2 linked regions of the Coturnix japonica genome follow. Each later gene encodes a partner of the first gene's protein in a complex. Links are inferred from orthologs where the notes say so. Each region holds a gene or a part of one and is shown in the gene's direction. Other genes may lie near its edges.

What was found. The genes of interacting proteins can lie anywhere in the genome.
Region 2: GTF2A1 (region 1) and DNA-directed RNA polymerase II subunit RPB11-a share a complex: the UniProt entries of both Homo sapiens proteins name them as parts of the TBP-based Pol II pre-initiation complex. The link is inferred for Coturnix japonica from reciprocal best matches to the Homo sapiens genes GTF2A1 and POLR2J.

Annotation. Positions count from the first base shown.
Region 1 is NC_029520.1:37,077,177-37,082,599, reverse strand, and holds the start of GTF2A1 (transcription initiation factor IIA subunit 1), read left to right. Parts: upstream 1-1,918; 5' UTR 1,919-2,171; coding exon 2,172-2,201; intron 2,202-5,423. UniProt on the Homo sapiens protein: TFIIA is a component of the transcription machinery of RNA polymerase II and plays an important role in transcriptional activation. TFIIA in a complex with TBP mediates transcriptional activity.
Region 2 is NC_029534.1:3,079,306-3,084,476, reverse strand, and holds DNA-directed RNA polymerase II subunit RPB11-a, read left to right. Parts: upstream 1-2,164; 5' UTR 2,165-2,243; coding exon 2,244-2,296; intron 2,297-2,433; coding exon 2,434-2,523; intron 2,524-2,628; coding exon 2,629-2,803; intron 2,804-3,756; coding exon 3,757-3,792; 3' UTR 3,793-4,135; downstream 4,136-5,171. Other genes in the region: ras GTPase-activating protein 4-like, read left to right, coding at 1-145, 574-711, 780-1,091, 1,163-1,300, 1,369-1,504, 1,576-1,696, 1,768-1,817, 1,922-2,043; LRWD1 (leucine-rich repeat and WD repeat-containing protein 1), read right to left, coding at 4,352-4,492. UniProt on the Homo sapiens protein: Core component of RNA polymerase II (Pol II), a DNA-dependent RNA polymerase which synthesizes mRNA precursors and many functional non-coding RNAs using the four ribonucleoside triphosphates as substrates.

The DNA of each region.
Region 1 (5,423 bases):
ACAGGCTCTGCCCACCATTCTGACCTTCGGGGGGAACAGAAAGGAATGTGATACCCCACTGAGTTATTACTGCTATAGTGTCCATGTTGGTTTCTGAATTACAGTGAGTCACTCTGGAAAACAGTGGGATTTCTGGTCTATCTGGGGAAAGCAATTGTAACTACCCAGTGTTTCATGTTGAAAAGAGGAAGGGTATCAACTGCAATCTGATTAATCTATGGTGGAGTGGCAGTCACTTCAGTGGCTAAAACTATCTGTGAACTCTGACTGTGAATGCCCTCACTGATGTGTATATATATATGTGTGTGTGAGTATATACATATATTTAAGTTTTACATGATCATTTTTGCAATTATTTAAAGTGTAGAAAATGGAAGGCCAGCCAGGAGTGTTGGACAGTTTACAGATTCACTTCACAAACTCTCTGCAAGAGATTACTGCCTTTTTATTGGAGATGTCAGGGTGAAGTAACACTAGCACCTCAATTCCTGCTGCTCATTCAATACACCTAAGGTTAGCTCACGAGCTACGGATACCAACTCTCATCACTCCTGTTGGTTGTGCTGTGGCAGTGGAAAATTCCAAGAAGGAAATGTATAATTAACAGCAGAGGATGGTAAAACTCTGTCCCATGTAATTTTTGTTGGAGCTCCAGCAGTATGTGCCATGAACAGTGGAGCTGGTTCATCAGCTGGTCCACTGTAAATCAATCACGTGCCTATAAAAGCTCTGCCTGTCAGAAGGGAAAGGAGGTGCTCGCTACCACAGAACTAAAGCATTTAGAAGTATGGAATGTGAAGGTCTCCTGTATCCACTAACAAATTAATTCTGGTCTTAGGCTACCAGACAGGAGTTTGTAAACATGTTGCTTGGTCTAGCTAGTAGGTGGGACTTCTGAATGAAGGTAACGTGTCAAATATGGTCTGTAGGGCATGTTGGGTTTTTTATTGTTGTTTGTTTTTGTTTTCTGTGGAGATTGATGTAACATAATACCTTGAGCATAGAGCTGGAATTCAGTGTTGCTTTTAATTTATGTTCGAGCAGGTCTTATACAGGTGGGTTACTGCTGGAGCTCTAAGCTGTATTCAGAAGTTATCCTAAGGGCTTGGTGAAGGTGGCAGCAGGGAAGTTAACTGATGGAAGGATCCTCGTAGTTGAGAATGCTTTCCTGTATTACATGCATCTTGCAGATTGCCATGGAGAAAGGGGATAAGCAAAGGGAATGGAAAAGGACGAAAAGGCAATTAAAAGGGCAAAAATGGAAGCCAAGCCAAACGGTACAGCCAGGAATTCTCAGTGCCACAGATTTTGTGAGGAACTGCTGAAGAGGCAATTCTGAGAGTGAGGGCCCACGATTCCTGTCACCAGACCAGGTAACAAGAGCTTGAACACTCCGGGACCTGGCTCTTGTAGCAGGGCCAGCTCAAGGCCTGTGACCAGAGGTACCAGCGCCTGCTGGGCCAGGCAGGGCTCTTGCGTACCTGGAACTGCACAGTGAGGGGCTGACACCGAGGAGCAAACCGCTCCTATAGACCGAGCGGACGCGATGTGCGTTCCCATGTCCCTCGCTGGCCTCCGGCTCGCTCCGGGCCGTTATGAGCTGCCGCCTCGCGGTGTGCAGCATCCCGCTGGGCTCATCGCAGCCGGCCGGGCCGCAGAGCAGAGGCGGGCCGCCCCCAGCAGCGCCGTGATTGCGGGCGTCGCACGATGGGACGGACTGAGGCGCAGCGCCCGGCGGGACAGCGCGAAGACTTCCGCCTCGGTACGCCGGGCGGAGCGGCAAGCGGGAGAGCGACCTCCCTGTGTACTTCCGCCTCACTAAGTGTCATGGCGGCGGGGCGGGCTCTTCACGTGACGGCGCCCCGCGCGGCGCGCTCTCGTTCGCTGCTCTCGCGGTATCTGGCCGCCCCCCCGCGCGCGTCCCCCGCTCGGTCTGGCCGCTCGCGCAGCTGCTCGGCTCTCGCTATATAAAGGGGCGAAGCGGGCAGAGCGGGCGGCTGGCGGCGGCGGCTGCAGCCCCAGGGCCGGCGAACGAGGCCGGGCCAGGCCGCGGGGCTGCCCGTGAGCCCGGGCGGGACGTGCGGGCTTAGGGGGGACGCAGCCGGGCAGGTTTATTGTTTTAGGGGCGACTCCCCCCCCCGCGGTTGGGGGCGTCCCGGGGGGCTCGGGACATGGCGAGCTCGACTAACACAAACCCCGTGGTAAGGACCGGGCCGGGGGGCGAGGGGGACCCCGCGGGCGGCGCGGGCGGAGGGGGCCGGCGGGGCTCGCCGCCCCCTCCCCCGCACCCCCGTCCCTCGGGCCGCCCCGGCCCCCTCCCCCCCGGCCCGCGGCGGGAAGGGGCGGCGGGGTCCGGGCCGCTCCCCGCGCGGCGGCGGCAGCAGCAGACAACTTGTGGCGCCCGACGCCGGGGCGGGGAGAGCGCAGCCGGGGGCGGCGGGAGTGGGGCGGCGGGAGCGGAACGGGGGGCGCGGGGCGGCGGCCCGGGGGCGGGCGGCGGACGGAGCCCCGCGGGGAAAAGGCCGGGGCCGCCCGCCGCGGGCCGGGGTCCGGCGGGAAGGGGCGGGCGGGCGGGTCGGGAGGGGGGGGGGGGAGCCGCCCCGGGAAGGAGCGAGCGCCGCCGGCCCCGCGCCCGACCGGGAGCGAGCCGGGTGTCGGGGTGGCGGTGGCCGCGGTGGCGGCGGCAGCCCGGGCTCCGCTGGAGCCATTTTATGTTGCTCGATCGGAAAGAGACGATGGTTGAAAAGCACTTGTCCCAGCCCCGCGGCAGCGGTCCGCCAGGCCCGGCCCGGAACTTTTCTGCAGCGAGCGAGGCAGTATTTATTTTACAAAGAAAACTCTCGCCCCCCTGTGTCCCTTCTCGTGCTTTCTGCACCTTGGCGGGCGGCTCGCTGCGGGACGGCTCGCTCCGGTTCGCAATAAGCAGTCACACGCACGGCCGATCCGATCGCCCCTCGGTCTCCGCTCCGTCCCCGGCGCAACCCCGGCCCCGACCCCCGCCCCGAGCGCCGGCGGCACAAACCCGGCGTCCGGCGGCAGGCGCGGCCCTGCTTGTGGCGCTCGGATCCATCATGGCTTCCCCTGCCTTTCTGCCTGCCCGCTCCTTGTGTTCCTCCTCCCTGCGGCCGCCCTGTTTATATAGAGCCATTGCCGCTCTCTAATATAGACTCTGCTAGGATGGGAAGGTGCTTTCCAGCCCCACGTCACCGCCTCTCCATTTAAACACCACATCAGCCTTTAAATAGGGAGAGAGCCGCCGAGAGCGGGCTGGGAGGTGCGTGCATCGCGGCGGAGGCTGCCGGCCGTGCTTTTTGTCGCTCGGAGCCGGGTTTGTGCTCCTGCCTCGCTCCGCACTCGGGGAGCAGCGGCACTGCCCACGGCTCTCGGTGCTGGGTGGCTGTGCCTTGCACGAAGAGGGCACCGCCATCCTCCCAGCCTTCTGAAAACGCTTACCTTCCCCCCCCATCCCAACCCCCCCCCCCCTTTTTTTTTTTTTAATTTAATTTTTTTTTTTCATTTCTTTTTTTATTTATTAGCGTGTGTATTTTTTTGTCCACAGCATGCAGCTCTCTGTACCCTTATGGTCTTCCATGGAGTTTTGCTGTTTTGCTGCTGGATGGGGAAAGGAGGATTTAGATGTTCTTATCCAGCATGGCAAGGAGAGATGCAGGATTTGTTTCATGGCAGTTGGCCAGTGTCTGGTACAGATCTTATACTGAAAGCAGCATTAATATTGAAGTTCTGTTTATTGGTCCTGGGCACAGATTGTGTGAACGATTGTTGTGTGCTTCTGGTAACTGAAGGTGATGCGGCACACTGATATTTTGGAAGATTTTGGAATTTCTGCTATTATTTGAATTAATTAGAATGTTCTGAGTATTACAGAGAAGTTTACAGAAGGAAATGATACAGAGTTTCCTTTCTAAATCCAAAATCTTACCTGTAACCTGGAGACATGAGAAGCAAGGAAGTAGCATGGCTTTGCTATTTTATCAGCTGTTCTGAAACAAAATGTGGGACAGCAGTGTGCCATTGCATGCAGGTCAGCTGCTGGTAGGATACTTAATGTGTGTGATCCAAATCTGCTAGCTGTTCTGCCCATGACCTGCTGGCTTTCTTTAACTGACAGGAAGGGTTCTTTGTCTCTACAGTAAGTTAGATGTTTCACGTCTCTTTTTCTACCAAGTTATTACCTAATAGGTAAATACATCTTTTTATTGAATAATCATCTTAGCACTTACAAATATCTTTGTTATAACAACTTGCTGAGGCTTATCAGTGCTGCATCTCTGTCCTAGCACAGCACAACTTCTGCTGAAAAGTGCTTGTGTTTGATCACAGTGTTAAGAATAATAGGAACTTAAAATGACCCTGACTCCCATTTTAGGTTGAATCCCAAGGAAACGGTACAATTTTGCAGCACTCTGAAAATCAGCTCTATTCTGTAGTAGTGATAACCATATGTACCTCAGAGTTGCAGAAGATGAGCAAGAATGTGTGGAAGTACTGCAGCCAGCTGGTAACTTCAGCAGGGCAGATTTTGGACCTGGTGTGTCATAGTAAGACATCAGCATCTAATCAAATCTGTCCTTCCCAGGAAGGGATGCACATACCTTATGTGGTATAAGGTTTTGTAGGTGACAAAGGTAATTACCTTGTAAAGGTGTGACAGGTGTCACATTTAATTGCTTACAGTGTAGCCTGTATGTGCTACTTCTTTTTCACTCTTCTTTGGTGTAATTGTGACTAAAAGTAGTTACCTCTGCAGCGTGGCATTCTCATGTCACACAGCTCCCATAGCTGTATTCCCACAGACAGGAGAAACAGATGGGGAACATTTCAGGGATAACTGCAGAAGTAACTAGGAGAAAACTGCTGTCAGATGCACAAGGCGTGCAGTGTGTATTCCTTTGTAATGTGTTGGTTATTGGAAACCCAAACTGCCCAAATCCTGACAGTTGTAACAATAATTAGAAAGAGGTGCGGGTTTTGTACCCTTGGAACTGATGGAATGTAGGAAATGCAGCCCCCAAAGGCATGTGGCATTGCTTAAAATAGCTCCCTGCATGCTCTTCTGATTTGGAGTGCATGTGTGTGTAGTGGTCTCACCATGCTCAGAGTTTTCTTTTCTTTACAAGATATACAGAGAAAGTGAAATATAATGATTTCCGTATGTTCCTGGAGGGGGACATATGAGATTTCAAATCTTTTCTATGTGTTTGTGGTTGCATCTAATAAATCAGGAATTTTAATTGTTGTCTTTAATCTCTAGTAAGTGTTTGGAGTAGTGTTTATTGAAGAGTGATTTGAGTGTGTTTGCTCTTAAAAGGGCCTGAAGTTTACAGTAATGCGCTCTTTATGAGGGAAGCACTTTAATACAAACCAGATGAAAGCACGATTATTTTAATAGCAATCTTTTAAGT
Region 2 (5,171 bases), on another chromosome or scaffold:
GGAGCAGGGCCGCCAGCTCCTGCAGTCCTACCTCGGGGAGCTCTTAGATGCCATCAGTAAATCGGCTCCTACCTGCCCTCCTGTCATCCGTGCTGCTTTCCGGCAGCTCTTCCAGCGTGTCGGGGAGCGCTTCCCCCAGCATCAGGTCAGCTCCAAACCCAGTAGTGGGGATGGAGGAATGGGGCCAATGGCTTGATGATGGGTGACTTAAGTTGGTGGGGGGGCAACCAGCCCAAGGCAGGGGGTTGGAACTGGGTGGGCTTAGGGGGAAGTTCTTTACTAGGAGAGTGGTTAGGGCCTAGAACAGGCTGCCCAGGGAGGTTGTGGATGCCCCGTCCTTGGAGGTGTTCAAGGCCAAGTTGGACAGGACCATGGGCAACCTGATCTAGTAAAGGTGTATGTTTGGTGGCCCTGCCAGGCAGGGGGTTGGAACTACATGATCCTTGAGGTCCCTTCCAACCTGGGTCATTCTGTGATTCTGTGGGCTGTGAGGATCATCCAACCCTGAAGCATCATGAGGGATGGTGCCATGGGGATGGACCCTCACACATCTCTTGCCCCCGGTGGCTGCAGCACACTCAGTTCGTGGCTGTCACCAGCTTCTTGTGCCTGCGCTTCTTCTCCCCCGCCATCATGACCCCCAAACTCTTCCACCTGAGGGAGACACACGCTGATGCACGTACCAGCCGCACGCTGCTGCTGCTGGCCAAGGTGAGCTGGGACATGGGCACAGCGGGGTGGCACTGGGGGCAACGACTCCACCATGCCGTGGTCTGCAGGCCGTGCAGATGGTGGGCAACATGGAGCCAGCGGCAGGGAGAGCCAAGGAGGAATGGCTGGCCCCGCTGCAGCCCGCCCTGCAGCACGGAGCCTCCCAGATGAGGGCCTTCATCACCCGCCTGGTGGGCACGGAGGAGGAGGAGGGTGGAGAGGAGCAGCCCTGTGCCCCCCGCAGCAACGTGGTGAAGGAGGGGCTGCTGTTTGTCCATAAGACACGGGGCAAAGGGCCGCTGCTTGCTTCTGCATCCAAGAAGCTGCACTTCTGCCTCACCAGCGAGGCACTCAGCTTCAGCAAGAGCCCCGGGGCAGAGGTAGGGGGACGTGGGGTGGTGGGATCCCATGGTGGCACGGAGGGCACCGAGCGCTGTGTCCCCAATGGCAGAGATGCGGCTCCATCGCTTTGGCCAACATCCGAGCGGCCGAGAAGGTGGAGGAGAAAAGCTTTGGGAGCTGCCACGTCATGCAGGTGGTCTATGTGGATGAGGCCGGGCAGCAGGAGACGGCGTATCTGCAGTGCAAGGTGGGCTGGGATGGGGACGGGGCTGTTTCCCATTGGGGTACTGTGTGACCTCGCTGTTTAACCCGCAGTGTGTCAATGAGCTGAACCAGTGGCTGTCTGCGCTGAGGAAGGTGTGCGGCAACAACCCGCAGCTGCTGCGCTCCTACCACCCCGGGGTCTTCAGGGGGGATAAATGGAGCTGCTGCCACCAGAAGGACAGGACGGGTACGGGCTGCTGGGTGGGGGGTGGGGGTGGTGATGTCCCCGCTATTTTCAGCCCCTGTTCTGTCCCATAGGACCGGGCTGCGGCCGGACCCGGCACAGCATCACCCTGCAGGACTGGACCGACCCGCTGCAGCCCGACGTGGAGGCGCAGCGGCTCTTCCAGCACCTGCACGGGCTGCAGCAGCCCCTCAGGTGGGACCCACAACCGGGGGCAGCCCCCAAAGCGCCCCCTGCCCCGCGGCCAACAGCCCCTTTATCCGCAGGGAGAAGTGCCGGCAGCTCATGGAGCCGGGGGACCCTCAGAACGGAGAAGGTAGAGAAAGGACCCCCAGCTCCCCATCCCCCCCATAGGCGCTGTGCTCTGGGGCTGCTCCCATTCCCGGGGGGTCTCACCGCCCCGCTCTCCCCCCCCCCCAGCCCCACCGCTGACCCCCGCGCTCCGCCGGCTCCTGGATGCGCTGCAGGACCTGGAGCGCTGTCACCGCCGGCTGCCCCCGGCCCAGCCCCCCCTGCAGGAGCTGCCGGAGCCGCAGACGTGACGGACGGACCGGGATGTGCCGGGATGGGGCTGGGGGGGGGGGGGGGGGGGGGGTCGCAGCGTGGCAATAAATGCGCAGCTCCACCCGCTCCGTGTCCGTGCCTTTATAGCGCACTGCGCACGGTCCGCCCGCACGGCAGGGGGCGCTGTGGGCGGAAGTGACGCTGTGTGCGCTGCGGGGAGCGGTGCGGAGCCGGCGGGATGAACGCGCCGCCAGCATTTGAGTCGTTCCTGCTGTTCGAAGGGGAGAAAAAGTGAGTAGGGGGCGGGATGGAGGATGGGGGGGGTCCGGTGGGGGGTTGGGGGCTGCCCGGACCGTCCCGTGCCCCCCCGGTTCCCCCCATGTCCGCCCGGGCTGTGGCAGTGAATCGCCGCCCCCTGTGCTGTGTAGGATCACCATCAACAAGGACACCAAGGTGCCCAACGCCTGTTTGTTCACCATCAACAAGGAGGATCACACGCTGGGAAACATCATCAAGTCGTGAGCTGAGGGAGCTGGGCGCTGCTTACAAGTGCTGGGGCTCTTATAAAGCTCTTACATCTATTAATGTATGTTTGTTTGCTGCTGCTTTGCCTCCTCCCCCAGGCAGCTGCTGAAGGACCCCCAGGTGCTGTTTGCAGGTTACAAGGTCCCGCACCCCCTGGAACATAAAATCATCATCCGCGTCCAAACGACCCCGGATTACAGCCCCCAGGAGGCCTTCACCAACGCCATCACCGACCTGATCAGCGAGCTGTCCCTGCTGGAGGAGAGATTCAGGGTGAGCTCAGTTCTGAGCACTGCGAGAAGCCCATCCTTTGAACCTAAGGGAAGGGCTCAGCCCAGAGCTGCTGCCATCTCGAAGATGATCAGGGGGCTGGAGCACCTCCCCTATGAGGACAGGCTGAGGGAGTTGGGTTTGTGCAGCCTGGAGAAGAGAAGGTTGCGGGGTGACCTCATTGCAGCCTTTCAGAACCTGAAGGGAACCTATAACCAGGAGGGGAGTAAACTCTTGGAAAGGGCTGACAATAGCAGGACACGGGGAAATGGTTTGAAGTTAAAAGAGGGAAGATTTAGGTTGGATGTCAGGGGGAAGTTCTTCACTAGGAGAGTGGTCAGGCCCTGGAACAGGCTGCCCAGGGAGGTTGTGGATGCCCCGTCCTTGGAGGTGTTCAAGGCCAGGTTGGACGGGGCCGTGGGCAACCTGATCTATGGGGTCTCTATGGGGAATCTATGGGGTCTCCTGGGCAACCTGATCTAGTAAATGTGTATGTTTGGTGGCCCTGCCAGGCAGGGGGGTTGAAACTACATGATCCTTGAGGTTCCTTCCAACCCGGGTCATTCTGTGATCATCTAGTCCAACCATTCCCAATACTTCCCGGCTAGATCATACTCAACAACACAACATCCAGACGTTTTCTTGAACACTCCCATGGTCGGTGACTCCACCACCTCTCTGGGCAGTGCATTCCAATGCCTGACTACCCTTTCCGCAAAGTAAAACTTCCTAATGTTCAGCCTGAATCTCCCCTGGCGCAGCTTAAAACCATTCCCTCTAGTTCTATCACTGATAACACAAGAGAAGAGGCCAACCCCCAGCTCACTACAACCTCCCTTCAGGAAGTTATAGAGCAATAAGGTCTCCCCTGAACTCATGCAGTTGTTGTTTGATGTGAAATTGATGAAATCAGTGTTTAAACCATCCACTGACGGTTCTGTTTCTGTTCTTTACAGGTTGCCATTAAAGACAAACAAGAAGGAATCGAGTGAAATCAGCCTGCTCTTAGTGTGATACACTGCTGATGAAGAACGATGTGTCTGAGTGAAATGCTTTATTTAAACCTTCATTCAATGCCAATTACTTTCCTTCCAGTCCTACTGACTTTGGCAGCAGTATTGGGAGGGGATGTTTGTATCTGACATGTCTTGTTTGATTTCATGGCTTAATTCACTAAAATGGTTTTCACTTTTCTAACTGGAGCCTCACTGTCACTATGTGCACTATGCTGTAGCTCAGTCTCACTGCCCTTATGGCAATGAGGAGATGCTGAGTGGCAATAACGGGTCACAGCCCTGGTTTCCCATTCCAAGAAGTTCAGATTCTGCCAGCAGAGTTGTTGTTTTGTTTTATTAAGTGTCATTTCTATAAAACAAATGCACAAATTGTGTAAACTTACAGGAAAAAAGCCTGGATGACTGGATGTGCTTAACGAACTCTTTTACCTTTTGCACGTAACAGCTGGTCTAGAAAACTTTATGGTTATATGGGTAACAGTCACTAATACTGCACTATTTCAAAACACGGGGAATGAACTTCTATAACAAGGAACTATGACTTCTTCCAAATGGCTGTAATGTTCACACTAGTGAGAGCAACAAGGTAAGTGAAAGTAGGGTCTGTTATCACGTTGTTTATGTAGACTTCGCTCAGGTGTTCCCCATTTGCTTGAAGCTCCGGCCATTTGAGAATCTACAGGGAGAACAGAGTTTGTGTAGGAAAGGAATGGTATCATTGTCCATGAAACTTGGGCAATATCAATTATTGCAAAGCCTGGTTTGACAACTGGAGCTGGGTGGGGTCCAAAGAGGTCACATCCCTACCAGATACAGTTAGAGCTAAGACCACACGTGCCTCACAGCCTTTGTGAATGTGTAGTTGTTAGGGCACACTACTGACCCACAGCAGGAGTGTGCTCAGGAAAAGAATGAGCAAAAGAGAAGCAGGAACACAGGCCAGAAGCTTCCCCTTCCCCACATGCAGTTCTACCAAGGAGCAGCTGCTGCTGTTACCTCCACTCATCCAGACAGGGAAACAGTGGCTGCACACCAGACAGCAGCGCAGGAACAGCTTGTGTTGCCAGGCCATATATAGTCAAACAATCATATTTTTTACAGAGAGGCCTTTACCCAAGGAAAAGTTGACAAGCTGCAGCACACAGGAGTGAACAAATTTGCTTTGCAGCTCATAATCCCTGTCATAATTGTGTGTGTGATTGGAAGTGACCTTGGTCACACTCTGGAGATTGGTTTTAATTGGCTGTGAATGTTAGGTAGAGAAGATACGAGGCATGTTCTGGTGTGAAACTCAAGAGAGCTGCCCTGGGGAGGAAGGGAAGCACAGCTCTGACACAGAGGGTAAATGAGACCTA